Linked DNA regions of Arabidopsis thaliana. Each later gene encodes a partner of the first gene's protein in a complex. Each region holds a gene or a part of one and is shown in the gene's direction. Other genes may lie near its edges.

What was found.
Region 2: EMB3136 (region 1) and EMB3126 share a complex: the UniProt entries of both Arabidopsis thaliana proteins name them as parts of the 50S ribosomal subunit.
Region 3: EMB3136 (region 1) and RPL15 share a complex: the UniProt entries of both Arabidopsis thaliana proteins name them as parts of the 50S ribosomal subunit.
Region 4: EMB3136 (region 1) and RPL21C share a complex: the UniProt entries of both Arabidopsis thaliana proteins name them as parts of the 50S ribosomal subunit.

The regions. Positions count from the first base shown.
Region 1 is NC_003076.8:4,338,668-4,343,091, forward strand, and holds EMB3136 (Ribosomal protein L10 family protein), read left to right. Parts: upstream 1-2,594; 5' UTR 2,595-2,626; coding exon 2,627-3,289; 3' UTR 3,290-3,428; downstream 3,429-4,424. Other genes in the region: AT5G13500 (Hyp O-arabinosyltransferase-like protein), read left to right, coding at 9-398, 503-570, 651-852, 1,019-1,116, 1,222-1,291, 1,421-1,492, 1,642-1,755, 2,098-2,160; AT5G13520 (peptidase M1 family protein), read right to left, coding at 3,450-3,743, 4,140-4,424. UniProt on the Arabidopsis thaliana protein: This protein binds directly to 23S ribosomal RNA.
Region 2 is NC_003074.8:23,441,903-23,447,527, forward strand, and holds EMB3126 (Ribosomal protein L1p/L10e family), read left to right. Parts: upstream 1-2,300; 5' UTR 2,301-2,366; coding exon 2,367-2,696; intron 2,697-2,770; coding exon 2,771-2,950; intron 2,951-3,042; coding exon 3,043-3,097; exon of another isoform or gene 3,098-3,358; coding exon 3,359-3,486; intron 3,487-3,613; coding exon 3,614-3,697; intron 3,698-3,766; coding exon 3,767-3,892; intron 3,893-3,980; coding exon 3,981-4,118; 3' UTR 4,119-4,428; downstream 4,429-5,625. Other genes in the region: AT3G63480 (ATP binding microtubule motor family protein), read right to left, coding at 13-232, 312-387, 541-574, 658-699, 776-869, 942-967, 1,050-1,172, 1,260-1,289 and 3 more; TTA2 (fibronectin type III domain protein (DUF1423)), read right to left, coding at 4,429-4,994, 5,167-5,625. UniProt on the Arabidopsis thaliana protein: This protein binds directly to 23S ribosomal RNA.
Region 3 is NC_003074.8:9,489,665-9,494,835, reverse strand, and holds RPL15 (ribosomal protein L15), read left to right. Parts: upstream 1-2,180; 5' UTR 2,181-2,277; coding exon 2,278-2,361; intron 2,362-2,432; coding exon 2,433-2,796; intron 2,797-3,088; coding exon 3,089-3,240; intron 3,241-3,334; coding exon 3,335-3,568; 3' UTR 3,569-3,781; downstream 3,782-5,171. Other genes in the region: AT3G25930 (Adenine nucleotide alpha hydrolases-like superfamily protein), read left to right, coding at 965-1,163, 1,283-1,374, 1,539-1,651, 1,744-1,804; AT3G25910 (MAP kinase kinase kinase, putative (DUF1644)), read right to left, coding at 3,882-5,000.
Region 4 is NC_003070.9:13,206,635-13,211,776, forward strand, and holds RPL21C (Ribosomal protein L21), read left to right. Parts: upstream 1-2,048; 5' UTR 2,049-2,142; coding exon 2,143-2,457; intron 2,458-2,767; coding exon 2,768-2,848; intron 2,849-3,081; coding exon 3,082-3,183; intron 3,184-3,291; coding exon 3,292-3,366; intron 3,367-3,522; coding exon 3,523-3,612; 3' UTR 3,613-3,794; downstream 3,795-5,142. Other genes in the region: CDPK2 (calcium-dependent protein kinase 2), read left to right, coding at 52-195, 285-437, 536-651, 723-890, 974-1,198, 1,284-1,424. UniProt on the Arabidopsis thaliana protein: This protein binds to 23S ribosomal RNA in the presence of protein L20.

The DNA.
Region 1 (4,424 bases):
ATAAACAAATGGGAAAAGCATCAGGCTTGCTTCTGTTTCTCTTGGGTTTTGGGTTCTTTGTTGTCACATATAATCTTCTGACACTTATAGTTCACAATAGATCTGGTGTGAGTAATTCAGATGGAAGTCCACTTCTGGATCCTGTTGTTCAGATGCCTCTAAATATTAGGAAAGCCAAGAGTTCTCCAGCACCTTTTCATGTTGCCTTAACAGCTACAGATGCACCTTATAATAAGTGGCAGTGTCGTATTATGTATTATTGGTATAAGCAGAAGAAAGCTCTTCCTGGTTCTGATATGGGTGGCTTCACCCGTATTTTGCATTCCGGTAATTCTGATAACTTGATGGATGAAATACCCACATTTGTGGTTGATCCTCTTCCTCCAGGTCTTGATCGGGTAAGAATTTTTATTTTATTCCCGTTTCTCCATTTGGTCTCACTTTTTGTTGATGGTTTATCACTGATTCACTCTTTTTTGTAATCTTGTAATCTTGTATTTAGGGGTATGTTGTCTTGAATAGACCATGGGCATTCGTGCAATGGCTTGAAAGAGCTACCATCAAGGAAGAGTAAGTCCTGTCATTTCTCTCTTCCTTCCAACTAACATTCTACTGTTTGCTAAATCTCCTGCATCTTACTGTTGGTGCAGCTATGTGCTCATGGCAGAGCCTGATCATGTATTTGTTAATCCCCTTCCCAATTTGGCTGTTGGAGGATTCCCAGCCGCTTTTCCGTTTTTCTATATTACTCCTGAAAAGTATGAAAACATAGTCAGAAAGTATTATCCAGCGGAGATGGGGCCAGTAACAAATATCGACCCCATTGGCAACTCTCCTGTTATCATAAGCAAGGTGAGATTATCTGTGCTATACTGTTTGTATATGTGTTATTTGACTTGGGCCCCAAAGATTTTCAGAGGCGTTTAGCTAGATGTGATGTTGGTGTCCAGGAATATGTTCTGTTTGTTCTGTTCATGCATTAAAATTGATGTTGACATGCATTTACTTTCTGATGCAGGAATCACTTGAAAAGATTGCTCCTACATGGATGAATGTCTCGCTGACAATGAAAAACGATCCAGAAACTGATAAGGCATTTGGATGGGTGCTGGAAATGTTAGCACAAGAAACAAGAATCTTAAATCATGAATTGGCTCTCCACCTTTTGAATCCCATCATTGTTAACTGACTACTTTATTCTTCTCTTTTCTGTTTGATAAGGTACGGTTACGCAATTGCATCTGCTATACATGGGGTGCGTCACATACTTCGGAAGGATTTCATGCTTCAGGTAAGAATCGACCTTGTGCTGATACCTTAGTGATAACATATTCTATGTCGAAGATACTTTTGTTTTGTCAAAGTTACAAAAGTTGTTTCTCTGCTCCATATTCCTAAGTTCTCTCACAATATCTTTCAGCCTCCGTGGGATTTGTCTACCAAGGGGAAGTTTATCATTCATTACACTTATGGATGCGACTACAACATGAAGGTGATTTTCTGTTTGACACGATTGTTTAATTTTAATTTTTGGCTGATAAATTAGGAACAGATTTCACATCTTGTGGTCATTTGTTTTTACTTAAGGTCATTAGGTTCTCTTTTTAGTCACTACTAAGTTTTGCTGACTGTTAAATACAGGGGGAGCTGACATATGGCAAAATAGGAGAGTGGCGATTCGATAAGAGATCACATTTGCGGGGTCCTCCTCCAAGGAACATGTCCTTGCCGCCTCCCGGTGTTCCCGAAAGTGTGGTATGTTATATATAAACCTCTATAATCTGATCGTGCTTAAAACAAGATACTGCAGTAAGGTCCATTCATAGCTCAAAGGGGAACTTATTTGTATCATGTCCATTGGTTTAGTGGATTCCGGAGACTAAATAGCAACGTCATACACAAATGGTCGTCCATAGTTTGATGTAGTTTGTGAATTTGCAATGGTTTTACTTTCCGGGGAGATGATATGCATAAGTCTGTTAGAAGTAGTTGTAATATCTTCAGGAGTTACGGTTTTGCTTGTGGTCAATCAAGTGTGAGAGTGAGAACCGTAATATTGAATGACTGTCCTTAATAACATATTGTGTGATGGTGCAGGTGACACTTGTGAAGATGGTGAATGAAGCTACTGCGACTATCCCTAATTGGGACACTCTCTAACTCACATCCACACACAAAACACAAACCATAGGGACAAATCCATACAGCAACAATATTTTGCCTAATTTTTTTTTCCTTCTCCCTTTACTTCCCTTCTTGTCTGTTTTTTCTTGTAATGGTTAAATTATGAACTTGAGTAGTAAATTACAAAATTATTTGTTTGACACGAGACGAGACATCTTCCATAATTCCGAGAAAGAAAATAGAATTATTTTGGGTCTAGTTATTTGATTAGTTTACCAATGGATTGCGTTCAGAATTCAGAAGCAGAGACTAAAAGACACAATGCGTTAAATTAGACGGAGTTACTAATTCCGTCTATTAACCCTTTTTTTATCCATAAATTTTATTTTCCATTTAAGAAAAATAAAAAAATAAAATTGCTTAGTGGAGGATTGTGTTGTTGTTCATCTATCTTCTTCCTCCACACAGCTAGAAACAGTCTCCTCATCTTCTGAGCAAAAAAATGGAAGTGGCTCTTCTCTCCTTCTCTTCTTCCTTGTCTCCTCTCTGTCACCAGCGAATCTCAACTCTCACACCCAAAACCTCGAATTCCCCAAATTACCCTCGCCTCCCGGTCATCAGATCCGCGGTGTCTCGTAACAAGAAGGAAGAGACTGTCGAAGCCGTCAAGTCTCACTTGGAGAACTGCCATCTCCTCGCCGCCATCAACTACAAAGGCCTCACCGTCAAGCAGTTTCAAGACCTCCGGAGAACTCTCCCCGACACTACAAAGCTCATCGTCGCCAAGAACACTTTGGTCTTCAAAGCCATTGAAGGCACCAAATGGGAAGCTCTCAAGCCTTGTATGAAAGGCATGAACGCTTGGCTTTTCGTCCAGACCGATGAAATCCCTTCTGCTATCAAACCCTACCGGAGCTTCCAGAAGGAACGCAAGCTTGAAAACAATGACTTTGCCGGCGCTGTCTTCGAAGGTAAGTTCTACGCTCCTGACAATTTCAAAGTCCTCGAGACCATGCCCACTCGTGCTGAGGTCTACGCTAAGATGCTCGGTGCTCTGCAATCTCCGGCTATTAATCTCGTCACTACTTTACAAGCACCAGCAAGAGAGGTTATAATGGTGCTTATGGCTTACATTAAGAAGTTGGAAGATGAGAGTAATGCATAGTTAAGCTTGTACTAATCTTTTGGAGAATGTAATGTACGCAACAAAAGGCAATTCAATTTTTTGTTTATGACTCTCTCAAGCACCAATTGTTATTACAGTGACTGAGTTTTATTGAAATGTTGTTTTTCGGAGTGCTCTCAAGCTATCATAACGGTCTTGTTTAGATGTACTTAGAGAGGATAGATTCAACAACTCCCTGAGCTATGGGGTGATAAGTTTCTCGAGCTTCTGCAAACACCTGTTTTGCCAGCTGCTTCTCTTCTGTTCCACCAGATTGTGCAAGAGCAGTGAAGAGTGGACGCAGGTACTTCATCCTTCCTACCTCTTTTAGTGTTTTCTTCACTTCCCCATGGTACTCTCTGCACTTGGATGTGACTGCAAGTTGCAGAAACGAGACCTTCACTTCATAGTCTTTCGATTCTGCCAGTCTGTACCGCTTGTCCAAGGCCATGACCTGATTCATCAATGAGCAAAGTGGGTGTTAGCCATAGGTTTGAACCTGATCACCAATCCTTCCTTTGTTGACTAGCATTGTCATTAACAAACAAGATAAGATCCTAACTCTTGCAAAGCCAATACACTTTCCACAATCATGAACTCTCCCAAAGCCAAGAGGGTTTTTCCACAATCATTATTCACTAGCCCCACATTAATCCAAGAGTAACTATTGAGCTAACCTAACTGACAGTTAGTTAGGCCTTTTTCTCCTCCTTATGTAAGCTTATTGAGTAGTTCAACCTAAGTCAAGCCATTTCCCATTATCTTAGAGGAAGAAATAAAGATTCACTCAGCAAGTACAGCTCCAAGTACAGCTCCCATTAACTTAGAGGAAGAAAGGAGTAAAGAGTACCTGAGAAGGTTCACATGATTTAGGAAGATTCTCCAAGTACAGCTCCCATTCCTGTCCGTTCCACTCAGCAACATCATCCTCACTTGGCATCTTTCCTTCCTTAAACTCTTTCGCCAGGGATATGATCTTTGTGTAAATGGTTGAGACTGGTTCATATGCATCCTCTGGTATACCAACGCCCTCAGTCCACAGCTGTAGATTGATCTCTTTCTCTATGCCAGGGATGTTTGCTTTCAGGAATTCAAGAAATGTGTTTGTATCGATTGACTTGAACTTGAAAGTAGC
Region 2 (5,625 bases), on another chromosome or scaffold:
AGATATACTAACCAGGGCATCCTGTAAGATGCGAGTAAGCTTGGAGTCACGATATGGTATGTGATTCCCTTTGCTAGATGGCCCACTAGTGAGAGCGTTTATCACGTTCCCCAAGGCTGAGAGCGATTTATTGATCGTCTTCGCTTCTTCAAGAACCCTACCTTCTGCTCCAGTTTTGTCTGCTTTCTCTGAGCCAGCCAGGTCGACAAGAATCAGTTTTCCTGTTTTTACCCTGTTCACATGCCAGATATGTATATAAGCTCCACCACTACAGCATCACTTTTTTCTGATTAATTGTAAAAAATCGTTACCTTTTATCTTTAACTGAATCCTGCTGGATTGTGAACAAGTAGGCGCAGTGGCTTCTACTGCTGGACATATTCATTTCTGTCATTCATTGTTAAACTGGAAACATTCTTCAAGATGACTCTCAATCAGTTTTAACCTTTCAGTCAACTCGGAGTAGCATAATCATAATCTCACTATCGACTAAATGGGGAAACATTGAACAAGTAAGTGCTGTAAAAGCTAAGAGGATACGGGTTTCCCCAACTGCGCGGTTAGCTAAACCGGTCTGAAATGGCAATTGGCATCAGAAATAAGAAAGAAGAAGGCCGTATAAGGCAATTAAGAAACTTAGGGTAGCTGCTATCTTACGCATAGATGTTGTAATGCCTCCACCGAATCTGATACAGGCACCTGAAGCAACGAATGATTAAAACTTGCCTACCCAGTAAAGATTTTTCTCAACACTAGCAAATAGAAGATATAAGACAATGAAGCTAGCCTCTGTAACGCCTGACAAGAGTATTCCTTGTGTTTTGTTCTCCTTGATCTGTATGTTTGCTTTTGATAAGTCCAACAGGTCCCTGAGAGATATATGAATTTATCGATAAGCTATATACCCTAGAAGAAATCAGAGGGAATTACATACACAATACCTGACTTTCTCCATGTAGATCTCAACCTAGAGGAGACAAAAGACACGTAAGATGTCTATACAGGAGAGCTTGAAAGGAGACTTATAGCAAGTGCATTTAAGTCAGTACCATAGACAATTTAACAGTGTATCTTGCAATATCATTGGAAGAGCTGATTTGCTCAAACATCCCATGGACCACTCTTGGAAGAAGTCCTTTATTGTGCTCATCACAGTCCTGGATGCCTGGTCCCTGAATCAATCGAAGAAAACCAAAATGAGCCAGAAGAAGGAATGGTCCTTGTGCTACAGGAAGAGGTATCAAGATGAGTTAGGTGACCTCCATGGAATAAGTCTTCCCAGCCCCTGTCTGCATAGTATAACATGAAACGATCAAATTGAGATCAAAATCTGCCAAATTAAGAAAAAGACATTGAAAGCATTTCCAGATAAAAGAGATCAGGAGAAGAACAAACCTGTCCATAAGTGATGATTGTTCCGTTTATACCATTTACAGCGTCTGAAAGTAGTAGTAGTAGTACAAAGGTAAAAGATGCAAAAGACAAAGGTAGGAGGAAACCAAAACCAAAAATGTTGATTACATTGTAAAATCATAAGATTGGTGCTCAAATGTTTAGATCTAAAATCCAGAAGAGAAGATCAAGGAATCAATTAGTACCTCTCATGATGGGGAGAGCCAGAAACTCATAAACCGCAGCTTGGGTAGAGTCCTCATAAAAAACTCTATCGAGGCTAAATGTAAATTCATCTTCCTTGTCATCCTACACGCAAGTAAAAACGCTAGATAGAGTTTGAGAGACAGAGAGAGAGAGACAATATTAATCAAGCACACGGCGTCGAGTAGACAAACTTGGAAAACGAAGGTTTCAGCGTCGATGGGTCGAGCACAGACACCATCTCTGCTGGGATCGCGCATCTCTTTAGAGCTTCGCGGCCTGAATCGCGCACAGACGGTTACGTTAGACATCTCCTCTCCTTATCGGAACGAGCTCAGTCTACAGTGAAACACCCAAAATGAGTCAGCAGAAGATGAATGAAATTGGGGAAATAGTAGCACAGGAAATTTGAAGCTGAGAGAAAAGGAATCGGAACTTACCTCTCAAATGGAGTGGAGAGTCAGAGTAGGGTTTCTCTTACGGGCGGGAAAGAAGAAACTCGAAATCTGATTTTTGAGAAAAGAGAAGGAAGAAGAAGAAGGAGAAGGAGAAGAGGTCACGAGGATACGCGTGTGGGTTGTTAAAAGATCTAATGGTCCATAAGAAGACACGTGTCACTAGGAACACGGTAGCTAAGGTGCCCGCCACGCAGAGAATAATAGCTTAGAAAGAATAGGGGGTGTTGTTATCCCCTTGGGCGTGGAGTGGATTAGGGAGACTCGCACTCTTCTTCTTCTTCTTTGTACCCAGAAAGAAAGAGAGCTCCAACAATGGCTGCTTGCGCTACTCACTCCTCTCTCATGCTAGCATACGCCGCCGCATCCACTCGTTCCCAGGACCTTACCCCTACTCCATCTCTTTTCTCTTTTGCCAGCTCCAGACCCAACCACTTGAGCTTCCCGCTTCTTCTCCTTGGGGGTTCCAGGGACCGGAGATGTGCTGCTATTGACAGAGCTTCCAACCACAAGTTTATTGTCTCCGCCGTGGCCGCTGAGGCTGACCTCGACACGGAGGAGGACCTGGAGCAGACCGCCACCGCCGTCCTTGATCCGCCCAAGCCTAAGAAAGGAAAAGCCGCTTTGGTTCTCAAGAGAGATAGAGTATGTGCTTTACCTACTTCAATTTCGCTTCCTTTACTCGTGAATCATCACTTTGTTTGCTTACCCATTGACAGACAAGGTCTAAGAGGTTTTTGGAAATCCAAAAGCTAAGGGAAACCAAAAAGGAGTATGATGTCAACACTGCTATCTCTTTGCTTAAACAAACTGCCAACACAAGGTTTGTTGAGTCTGTTGAAGCCCATTTCCGTCTCAACATCGATCCTAAGTACAATGACCAGCAGCTGCGTGCAACGGTCTGCTTTGCCTTTTGCTGGATATACACTCTATCTTGTGCTGCTTCATTCCACAACATTTTTTAATCTCAATGCATTGTCTTTTTGTATAGGTGAGCCTGCCTAAGGGAACTGGCCAGACTGTTATAGTCGCTGTTCTTGCACAAGGTATATTGCCCCACCAAATTCACTGCTAGGACTTAGGACAGAGATTATGCTTTACCATTTCAGTCACCAAATTCACTGTTAGGACTTAGGACAGAGATAATGTTTACGGTATCAGTCAGTCAGTCAGTACTTCTCTAGATGCAACATTGTTTGGTGCGATTGACTTTTTATTTATATATTGATTGGATGGAGTTCTTGTGTATCATGTGGCTTATTCTTTCTAAATCTTTGGCTTGCACCATTTCCATGCTGAACTTCCAGGTGAGAAGGTTGATGAAGCCAAAAGTGCAGGGGCAGATATTGTGGGCAGTGATGATTTAATCGAACAGATTAAAGGAGGCTTCATGGAGTTTGACAAGCTGATTGCATCCCCGGATATGATGGTCAAGGTATGTGTTGATGATATAATGTTCTACTTGTTACAGCATATGAAACCGTCATGCTTGGCAAATAAGGTGGCATGAGATACTTGTAACTCGTGATCTATTTTCTAACATTCTTGAACTTGGCGCTTAGGTTGCTGGCCTGGGAAAGATTCTTGGACCACGGGGGCTCATGCCAAATCCCAAGGCTGGTACAGTCACAGCGAACATTCCCCAGGTAAGCCTACTCTGCAACATCTTTTCCTGATTCTGGTAGTCATGGCTTAAAGATGCATAAATCTCTCAGGCTATTGAAGAGTTCAAGAAGGGGAAAGTTGAATTCAGAGCAGACAAAACTGGGATTGTTCACATTCCATTTGGGAAAGTTAATTTTACAGAGGAAGACCTTCTCATAAACTTCCTTGCAGCAGTGGTAGGCTAATTCTCCATTCTTATTACGTATTTCTGTGGTTTAAAATACAAAAAAAAATGAAGAGGGAAAAGTAAATGATGAAATGCAGAAATCGGTGGAGACAAACAAGCCAAAGGGAGCTAAAGGAGTGTACTGGAAAAGCGCTCACATATGCTCGTCAATGGGGCCTTCCATCAAGTTGAACATAAGAGAGATGATAGACTTCAAGCCTCCCACTGCGAACTAATCGACAACGCCATTTGTAAATGGGGTCCTTTTGGGAGACGGGCAATGCCAGTGTAGACAGAGAAGAGAAACACCAAGTCTAGTCTGTTAGTAATCTTTTCACGCCTCACTGCTTTGTATCACTTTGATGGCCATTTGCTTCTTGTCGTTATTTATTTACTATTGCCTATTAAAATTTGGCAAGGGGCTGTACATGTCAGGACGCAGAACTCTTTAGTACTCTCTAAAAGAAAAGACCTTACATTGATCTTTAGGTTACATACGAGGAGGAGGTTTCTGTGTACATTACATGTGATTTACTACTACAAATATTACAAGGCCAGACTCTGCTTCGTCATTTCCATTTTGGTGAGAAGCCCTCTCATCTCTTCCTCCATTCTCATCTTCATTTCATAAAACTCTCTCTGCCCTCTCTGCATTGCCTCTAACTCCTCGTACCTCCTCCTCCTTCTCTCCTGTGCATCCTCCATACTCAACTTCCCCATTCTCCGATTGTACTCTTCTTCTATCTTCTCCTTCTTCGCTATTGCTATTCGTTTCAGTCCCTCTGCTTCTCTTCGTGCATCATCGGCCCGCCCTTGGAACATTTCTGCCTCTGCTTGCTTCATTCTCACAATGCTCTCTAGCTCTTCGAAACGAGGTTCCTTTGGTGAACCCCTTTCCAACTCCATCTCCACTGCACATATTTCAACTTGCCTCTCTCTGTGGAATGCATCAGCTACGCTCGCTGACCTTTTCAGCTGATTATGCGGGTTATCTGAGCACACCGATCTCAGCCACGCCGTGTCCTGACTAGGGCTTCCCCTCTCATGCCTGGGTTTTGGCTGTTCGTATATGAACGGTGCACTAGTTTCAGCAGGAGTGGAGGAATCACAGTCTGCAATCAACAGGCAAAGTATCGACAGATTGTTACAAGGAATATCTATGGCACATATATCACAAGAATTTAACCAACATGTGTTCACTGTGTGATCATCTATACTAAAACAGACTAATAAAGCCATATTTGATACCCAGATAAAGCTCACAATTTATACAATTTCGCGCACCTGAAATGAAACCCAATATGCGATTGCAAGCTTCAGGAAGGCCTATCAATTTACTTTTCAAACTTGCCAGCATCGCATCAGCAGCTTGTCTCAGCTGTTTCCCTCTAGAGTCTTTGCTTGATGAAAATATTTTATTGACATACTCCAGTTCCTTGCAAAAGCGCTCAAATTTCCATTCCCTTGCAAAATTCAGAAACACTTCTTTGACAAAGCCAAACATCTCTGAGGGATGGTTACAGGCAACACAGTGAAATTGCATCTCGGTCATTCCTGGAGCACCAGAAGCATTGATCCCATTCCGGATGTAAGACTCTTTTATCCCACAATCTGTGTGGCACCAGTGTAGGCACACATCACACCCAACCCAGCTACAGGTGTTGGATGCCATATCAAAATTTGAGCACACAAGACACATGCAAGCACTACAAAATCCATCCTTCCTTGAACAAACCCTGCAAT
Region 3 (5,171 bases), on another chromosome or scaffold:
AACAAATTTTTACAGTTCTATATACTTCAAATGAGAACTAAAATGGAAAAGGAGAATCATCGAGTACCTTAGATTACAACAGATGCTTTCGCTATCACAGAGCGTCTCGGGAGAGAAGAAAAAAATCGCTAGGGTTTTTGGGATTCAGAGGTAGGAGATGCAGAGATTATAATGGGCTGGATATATGTCTGTTTGGCCCATTAACTTTTCATTTTAGCCCGTTTAGCTAATTATGTCTTTTCTTTTACCAACTCTCTCTAATGATATTTAATTATGATTAAAAATTCCGACAAAGAGAATAATGTTTTATGTCATCAATGGCGTGTATCCGGCAGTTACCAAACACCGGTCCACTCACACCATTTTATTAATGGAATATTTCAATGGAGAATTGGTAATATGTTGTAGAATGAGATCATATTATTCGATTGTTTTCTTTTTTGATATACAAATGTTTTTTTGTTAGACTTAGCATTGTCTCTATCCTAATTTGAATAAGCATATGACTAGTCTTTTGAAAATTTCAGTAAAACGTTTTCCGCAAACTCATCACAAGTTAAGCAGAATCTGAACCGAAATCTAAATGATCAAGTGATATAACATGGAGATTAAATCACTATAAATCGTTATGTAATTTCTTTAAATGATTGCATATTGTGGGATTGAACTTGAAGTTATAGCGATTTTACGCTTTTGGTTCTAATCCAAACCTACTTTGCCACTACACACGGGTTTAATATAGTATTACTTGTGTGTATAATTTTATTTTATTTTGCAAACGAGAAGAAGCCAGAATCAAGTCGTTAACCCATGCCTTTCAATTACCCAATCACCTAAGATTTTTTTTTATATTACTTCCTTTGACAAGTTAATCCACTTCCAAATATACTATAAAGTTGCACATTGACAAGAGGTTTTAGCAGAAGCTAGAAGAAGAAAGGAGAAGAAGAAACAAAGAGAGAAGATGAAGAATGTTATGCTGATTATTGACGAGAGCAACGCAAGTTATGATTTACTCATTTGGGCACTTGAAAACCAAAAAGATACCATTGAGAGCTCCAAAGTTTATATCTTTGCAAAACAGCCACAAAATTCCTTTACTCCTCCTACCGTACTTTCTTCATCAGTCGGCTTTGCTCAAATTTTCTATCCATTTTCACCTAGTAAGTCATTTTATCGACTAATTTGTTGGGAGTTTTCAATAAATATCAAATTTTCTATCCATTTTCACCTAGTACTTTCTTTTGTTGAAAATTGATCAGTTTTTATGTGTGTTTTGCAGATTCAGAACTCATAAGATTGGCTCAAGAAAAGAATATGAAAATTGCTTTGGGTATATTAGAGAAAGCCAAGAAGATATGTTTAAATCATGGGGTAATAATCTATTGACTGAATCATTTAACTTGTTATTAATACAATATCATATATATATTTTTAAATACCAAAGTTTTAAAAGAAAAAAATGAAGTTCTTTTCATGACAACCATTTGTTGCAATATTTTAGTCTCATGATCTCATCATAATCATGTTGAAAACAGATCAAGGCAGAGACATTTACTGATGATGGAGACCCTAAAGATCTAATCCGCAAGATAATTCAAGAACGAAATATCAATTTAATAGTTACGAGCGATCAACAAAGTCTCAAAAAGTAAGAAACATCTTTTAATTTCAAAATATCAGTTAAAAAACTTAGTATTGATGGAAAAGTTGAGATAACAAACATCTTTTAATTAAATGCAGGTGTACACAAAATACAGATTGTTCTCTTCTTGTCGTGAAGAAAAGACTTCGCAAAGATTAAAGATTAAGGAAGTTACAAAATTCACCAATATATATAATTTTCTATGTGGTTAATTGAGATTGTGTAATGATTTGGGGTTGTAGTTTCAGGTGTTGATTTGGGGTTGTAGTTTGAACTTATAATTGTGTTATGTGTATAAATATTTGTGTTTATATATATCAAGTTAGTATAAATACTATAATTTCTTATCGTTTCTTTTATTGGCACTGGTGTCTTGATCATCCCGACTAATTCAGACATGAGCTTATCTGAAAACCCACTTTGGACACAAACGAATTGATACGAACGAGTAACGACTCTTTTATTGAAAACGAAAAGGCCTAAATTTGCTGTGAAAGGCCCAATAAACAATTAAGTGATTATGTAAGACGATGTCGTTTAACTCTTAAGTTTCTCAAGAAAGTTATCTCTCTCTATCTATCTTCCTCAACCTTATCCTTGAAGCTTTGTTTCATCTGTTGTTCCCTGTGACCATGGCTACTCCACTCTCAATCTCATCAAATCCTCTCACCTCCCGCCATTGTTACCGTCTCCACTTATCTTCTACTTCATTCAAGGTAATCTCTCATTCTTCTACAAATGTCAATTTTGAATGAATCCGTAAAATTGGAATTTGAAATGTGTACAGGGAAATGTAAGTGTTTTGGGGGCAAACCCAAGTCAGATTCTATCTCTGAAACTCAACCAAACCCTTAAAACGAGAAACCAACAGCAATTTGCGAGACCCCTTGTTGTGGTTAGCCAAACGGCGGCTACGTCGTCGGCAGTTGTAGCTCCGGAGAGATTCCGTTTGGATAATCTTGGACCACAGCCAGGTTCGAGGAAGAAGCAGAAGAGAAAAGGTAGAGGTATCTCTGCAGGACAAGGAGCAAGTTGTGGTTTTGGTATGAGAGGTCAGAAATCAAGATCGGGTCCTGGGATTATGAGAGGCTTTGAAGGTGGTCAAACTGCTCTTTATCGTCGTCTTCCCAAACTTAGAGGAATCGCTGGAGGTAAAGTTTTGTTTTTGTTTGGTATCCAAGTTTTGTGTAGCCCAAATGTTCGATGAAATGTCTCATCCAAAAGGCTCTGTTTAAATTTGGTGATGCTGCTTTCAGTTTTATTTAGTTAGGGCACATTTGTTTCATAGATTTAATATTGGGTAAGAGAGCCATGAATTGACAACTATGGATCAAGATTGTAGTTAGTGAATAGAGATATTTCATGGTTCGATTTTGCTAATTAGCTCAAACCAATAGAGATATATTTCTGATGCATCGTTGCGTTACTGTGTTCTTTAAACAGGTATGCGTTCAGGATTACCTAAATACTTACCGGTTAATATCAAAGACATAGAAACAGCTGGGTTTCAAGAGGGAGATGAAGTGTCATTGGAGACATTGAAGCAAAAGGGTTTGATTAATCCTTCAGGGAGAGAAAGGAAACTCCCTCTTAAGGTTAGTTTTCCAAACTTGTTGATCCTACTTCTTTCGATTGTGCTTTCGTCTTTTCTTTCTTTATTTAAACGTTTTGATTGGTCTTGGATTTCAGATTCTGGGTACAGGAGAACTAAGCATGAAGCTCACCTTCAAAGCTCGTGCCTTCTCAACACAAGCAAAAGAGAAGCTTGAAGCTTCAGGTTGTACACTCACTGTGTTGCCGGGAAGAAAGAAATGGGTTAAGCCATCTGTTGCAAAGAACCAAGCACGAGCAGATGAATACTTTGCCAAGAAGAGAGCTGCAGCAGCAGAAGCAGCAACTTCAGAGCCAGCAGCCTCTGCTTAAATTACTTCAGTTTCAAGCTCTTTTTAGTGTTGTAAAGCTGCAGAGAAGATAATTGTCTATGACAAATGTTAATTACAATTCCTTTGTCTTTTTGTATGGTGAAGAGATTTACATTTTGTTGTTTGAAGAGTCATTATCAAAAAGATATTTAAACGGTAATGAAATATTGAACATTTTGTTTCCCAATAGTAGAAACTTTTTTCAATCTCCAAAGAAATTTTACATAATAGGGTTTCATAAGTGGGGTTATTACTACAAGGTTTCCCCCATTTTATCATAAACTCCAAAGACCAAATTTCCAAACTGCAGAGCATCACGGTTCTTCTTCTTCATCATCATCATCAATGACAGTTCTTCTTCTAGAACGACGTCTCCGAGTTCCAGACACTTGTTCATCAGAAGATTGATTATTCTCCTCATCTCTAGGTGATGTTCCTGTATTACCTTCATAGCTCTCTCCCCAAAGACTTGCAGGTCTTGAAGATCTTCTTCTCCCACTTGTATGTGTCCTAGCTCTAGATGTACCAGACCAGCTACTACTCCTTGAGCCACTCGATTCTGGTCTAAACACGCGGATGAGAAAGTACACTGTAAGCAAGCGAGTATCAGCAAATAGAAACCCATCATCGTTACTTATTTCATCTCCTCCAAAAGAAGATTGGAGTGTGCTAAGTAAATCCCCTAAATCGCTCTGCCTTTCTAGCCTCCTCCAGCTTCTCTGTCTCTCTGGATCTGCTTCTGATGGCCTAACTCCTGGATGTAGAAGCCTTGCGTGCTTTCTCAGATCGGAATAGCTTCCACTGAAATCACAAGTCTCACAAGAACAGCTTCTATGTTTTGAGTTCATGAAACATCGAGCTGCTTTAACAACTACCCATTCTTTTATATGTCCACGACATAACGGACAAGTAAGCTTTTGTGGTTTGTTTTTTTCTTGATCTTCTTCTGTTGTTACAATTCCTTCTTCTTCTTCTTCTACTACTACTTCTTCTTCTTCTTCTTCTACTTCTTCTTCTCCTCTCTCACCATCACTTAAATCCACAACTGTTATCTCAGATGCAGCTTCTCCTAATAGATTTACAGCAGTTGAGTCTGAATCCACATCTTCCATCTCAGTTGGTTCATTACTTTCCTCTTCCTCACGAAGTAAAGACAAAGAAGGTTTCTCTTTAGAAGCTTTGCGGAACTGATCGAAACAGTTAGAATGCCGATGGCTAGTGTCGCACATGTAAGGTCGACAACCATTTTCATAAGAAGAACAAATGAGAAGAATCCCATTGTGAGGATGTTCCATACAAACAGGACAACGAGCCTCTTCCCATTCCTTAACTTGTTTCTCACTCGGCTTCAAAGCAAGGCTTGCCTCACAACACAGTGGCGATCGTTTATACTTATCAAGAGATACGGACCGTTCTTTCCTCTCTTTCGGCATGTTTTGGAACTAGTAACAAACAAAGTAACCTCCAGGAGGCTAAACCTGCAATAAGTAACCTTCTCATAAGCAACATCAAACTGAAAATTTGTAAATGCTAGTAACAAGCCTGAAAGAGGAATACAGTTCTTAAAAACCAAGATTAGCAAGAGATCTATATGATAAGCTTCA
Region 4 (5,142 bases), on another chromosome or scaffold:
TTCTCATTAATGCCAGTTTATCGGCTAATTGGTTTTTGTTTGCTTCTTCAGGACAATATTTATATGACGTAGTTGGAAGTCCGTACTATGTTGCACCAGAGGTGCTAAAGAAATGTTATGGACCTGAAATAGATGTGTGGAGTGCTGGTGTTATCCTCTACATTTTACTCAGCGGTGTTCCTCCCTTCTGGGCAGGTTAGTCTACTAAAAAAGTAGAGTCTTTTCTATTTACAAGTTTCGAGTTTTTGTTTGAATGATGTATTCTTTTCTCTTGGGCATTGCAGAGACTGAGTCTGGAATCTTTAGACAGATATTGCAAGGGAAGTTAGATTTCAAATCTGACCCGTGGCCTACTATCTCAGAAGCTGCTAAAGATTTGATCTATAAAATGCTCGAAAGGAGCCCCAAGAAACGCATTTCTGCTCATGAAGCCTTGTGTATGTTCATTCTTTGTTGTTCATTTGGAATTAGCAACTGTTGTGAATTGTTTTTATGGTAAATAATGAGTATTGAGTTTGCTCTGAATGTTATATAGGTCACCCATGGATTGTCGATGAACAAGCAGCACCAGACAAGCCTCTTGATCCAGCAGTCTTATCTCGTCTAAAGCAGTTTTCTCAAATGAATAAGATTAAGAAAATGGCATTACGGGTATGAATTCGAGTAATATACATTCGCTTTTTCTTTATGTCCAATCCGTATGCTGATTTCTCTGAACACAGGTAATTGCTGAGAGACTTTCAGAGGAAGAAATTGGAGGTCTGAAGGAATTGTTCAAGATGATAGACACAGACAACAGCGGAACGATTACTTTTGAAGAGCTCAAAGCGGGTTTGAAGAGAGTCGGATCTGAACTGATGGAATCAGAAATCAAGTCTCTCATGGATGCGGTATGAAAGAACCAAAACAAACTCTTTCCTCTTTTCAAAAACTTTTGTTTCCGTTTAACATCCTCTGTGTGTTGTGGTCACAGGCTGATATCGACAACAGTGGTACAATAGACTACGGAGAATTCCTAGCAGCAACCTTACACATGAACAAGATGGAGAGAGAGGAGAATCTGGTGGCTGCATTTTCGTACTTTGACAAAGACGGAAGCGGTTATATCACCATCGATGAGCTTCAGTCAGCTTGCACAGAGTTTGGTCTATGTGATACACCTCTGGACGACATGATCAAGGAGATTGATCTTGACAATGTAAACCACTCTTCTTCTTCTTCTCTTTGTTTACCTCCTTCTTCAATGTTACTTTACTATAACCGAGAGCTTTTGAATTATGTAGGACGGGAAGATCGATTTCTCGGAGTTTACAGCAATGATGAGGAAAGGAGATGGAGTTGGGAGAAGCAGAACCATGATGAAGAACTTGAACTTCAACATTGCTGATGCTTTTGGAGTTGATGGTGAAAAATCTGATGACTGACTCATCATTCTTCCACAATTTCTGTTTTTTTTCTCTTTAATTTCGTTTATATTTTGAATTCTAATTTCTAAGGATACAAAAATATATTCTGGCTTGTTTTTTGCTTTCCTTTTTATTTTTGTACATGAGCAACTTTCTAAATTTTTATCCTCATATGGATAATTTTTGCTTCATATAAAAGTTTTTGAATTCCAAAGAAATGTGATTTAGGGATGGCGAAAAGAAACCGAACCGAACCAAAATCGGATTTCATAAGTAATTTTGTTATAATACAAACTGTGAAACTGTAGAAAATTCTTATAACAACCCAAACCAAATCTAAATTCTTATAACAACCCAGACCAAATCTCAAATTGAAACCAAATTTGGTGAATTTGTAATTAACCAATATTCAGAATTAATATAACTAATTAAATATAAAGTACATTTAAATACACTAAACACTATAAAGAGATTAAGAGTAGTTAGAATTATAATTTTTGTCAAAAATCGAACAAAACCAAAATTGATGTGTATATAATATATTACTTAATTGGAAAACCCAAAATCTGAACCGAAATAAACCGGTAAACCGAAATTGCAAGCTTAGAAATTAAACCAATTTGAAGACAGGGGTACAATGGTAATTTTCAAAGGAAGTGGATAGGATAACACTGCGGATTTATTCTCCGTCGAGCTCCAAAGTCTCGAGCTTAGAGCTCTCTCTCAGTCGAAAACAATGGCGTCTTCTTCAGCGACGCTCTCTCTCTGCTCTACTTTCTCTGCTCATTGCAATGTCAATTCTCGCCGTTCTAGCACTATCCTCTGTTCTCTCTCTAAACCTTCGCTTAATTTGGCTAAACCTCTGACTGGATTTCTTTCTCCTTCCACTGCGTCGACGTCTCGAACCGCATTCACCGTCGCTCCGAAATTCGCGGAATCAGTCGTCGAAGCTGAACCGGAGACTACCGATATCGAAGCTGTGGTGGTTTCCGATGTTTCGGAGGTTACTGAGGAAAAAGCTAAACGAGAAGAGATTTTCGCTGTTATTATGGTGAGCTTGTTGAATCATACGAAACAACAAATTCTCAATTTCGGTGTTTAGCTTTTGGAATTCGGAATTAGGTTTGGTTGATTGATGAATTTGATTTTAGAGTTTTGATAATGAGAGACTGTGTTTTTGTGGTATCTACTCTTAAGATTTAGGGTTTAGGTTTAACGAATGTTGACTTCTTAAGGGAGAGATTGTGTTTTTGTGGCATATACTCTTCAAGGTTTAGAGTTTGGCTTTGTTATAATTGATTTTGTTTCTCTCATTTGCAATCTCTGATTTAGCTTAGTGTTGTTCTCTTTGGTTTGAATAGGTTGGTGGACGCCAATACATAGTGTTTCCAGGGAGATATCTCTACACTCAGAGGCTAAAAGATGCAAATGTTGATGACCAGGTATATGCACATTTGCTTTCAATGACTATGTGATGTGTTCTTCTTTGTAAAAAACTCTGTGTACGAAATGGTATATCTGTGAAAAGATGATGTAACTATGGAAGATTGAGTAAACTTTGTGGCTTGTGTAGAAGTTCTATTCTTTTGCCTATGTTAACATTGTGTTAAGCTGTTCTCTGTTGCATTTTTGGTGATTCCTGAAGTTTTCATATTTTGTTTTTTCTCTTGTGCAGATTGTTCTCAACAAAGTGTTGCTTGTTGGAACAAAGACACACACTTACATTGGCAAGCCGGTTGTGACCAATGCCACTGTACATGCTGTTGTGGAAAGTCAAGTAAGTCAATACAAACGATTTCTTAAATTTCTGATTGGTGGTTTTGTATTTTCGACTATGTAGTCGCCTCTAAACTTGGAATAACCGGAATGTCATTTGTTGTTGTAGGGTTTGAATGATAAAGTGGTAGTCTTCAAGTACAAGCCTAAGAAGAAGTACCGTAGAAATATCGGTCACAGACAGGTATTGCTGAAAGTCCTCTTCCTTATATTTGAACTATGTAATGTTACAATCAACAGACTACTATCAGTTACTTGTTGTAATTTGCTATGGCTGATGAAACTGAAATCTCTTTGAAGTAATGACACTTATGTTGTGACTTATGTGTTGATATTGTAGCCGAATACGAGGATTAGGATTACCGGAATCACAGGGTATGAAGAGTATCCAGCCTCGCCCAATGTTGCAGTTGGAGAAGTAAATCTTTGACACAAAATGTTTCTTGAATGTTAAAATTTTTCTGATCTTCTCTATGTAATTTTGTAAGGACCCTGGTCATTTCATTTCTGCTGAGATTCCTTTTATTAATATGTACCTTTTGCCATTCTTTGATCACAAATTCTAAGTTAGTGTATGAAAACTTCAATATAGCTCATCCATCAATCTACGCATACTAATGAATTTTATAGAATAAAACAACTTCTACCACTTCAGTGGACACAATACAGAAATACAGAAATTGATATTGAGATTTTGAAAATGGACGGGACCGTCCATAACATTTTTCCGTCCGCAAAGGCACAAACACATGAAAGACATTATGGTGTTTTTTGATATGTTTTTGACAAAATTTTGATATGTTGTTGCGATTTTCTAGTAAAAGACATTATGTGCACCAATAGTGTGAGATGTATTATGGTGATTTTCTGATGAGGAATTGAGAAATGAGTTTTTTTTATTATATATATGCAAAAGATAGATTGTCTCCGATTATTAGTTTGGTTGTATACATGTTGGGTTGTAACTTTTCACTTCAGTGGCACAACATGTGAAGGCTATATACATGTTGGGTTGTAATTTTTTGCTTTCTTACTCTTGTGGTTGATTAGGTCCGAGTTTGGTTTACTAGTTTTGCAAACCTTTTTTTTTTTAAGTTTGGTGCAACAAAACCCTTTACCAAAAATATATAGGTTAAGATAATTTATAAATAACTAAATAATGACTACTTGACTATTAAAAATATATGCTTTAAAATAGAGTAAAATATATATTCATTTAGTTTATGAGATTCCAGTTTACTTTCTAACTTAAATTTCAGAGATTTCATAATATTTTCGATATTTTTCTTGTCCTTTTAAATATAATATTAGTCTTCAAAATAATGTTATTATATAGACTAGGTTTAAAATCTGAGAAATGATTATTAAATAGTAAAATAAATAAACAGCTTAATTTTATTAACAGAACCTTTTTTATCAGCCAGTTGGCAAATGAAAATATGAAAAAATTTCCATGCTGGCTACTATTTTTAATTAATTTTTACAGAAATTTATTTAAATTTCTTTAAAAGCAACTAAATGCTAAATTTATCTATTACTAACTAGATATTGACCCGCGGTATACCACGGGTTGATTATTTACGTTAGAAATTATATTATTTTTTTAATTCTATATCATCTATATTTAAATAATCAAGTTATATTTTGAATTTATCATCTTACTTTTTATATCTATTTATTTTTGATATTATATTTGTATTTGTTTGGTTTAATCTTGTTTAATTAAGAAAATCTGTTTATTATAAGCACATTATATCGGGAGTGTATTTTTATGGTGCGTTATTACGTGTTTGTTATATAATATTTTTTTTTGTTAAAATGAACGTATTTGGCTTAAAATAGTTTTCTTAACTAATATATACATGTTTTTTTATGGTGCGTTATTACGTGCGTTCTTAACTAATATAGATGATATTAAATTAAAAAAGTAATTTAATTTCAAATGGTTTTTATCATACAA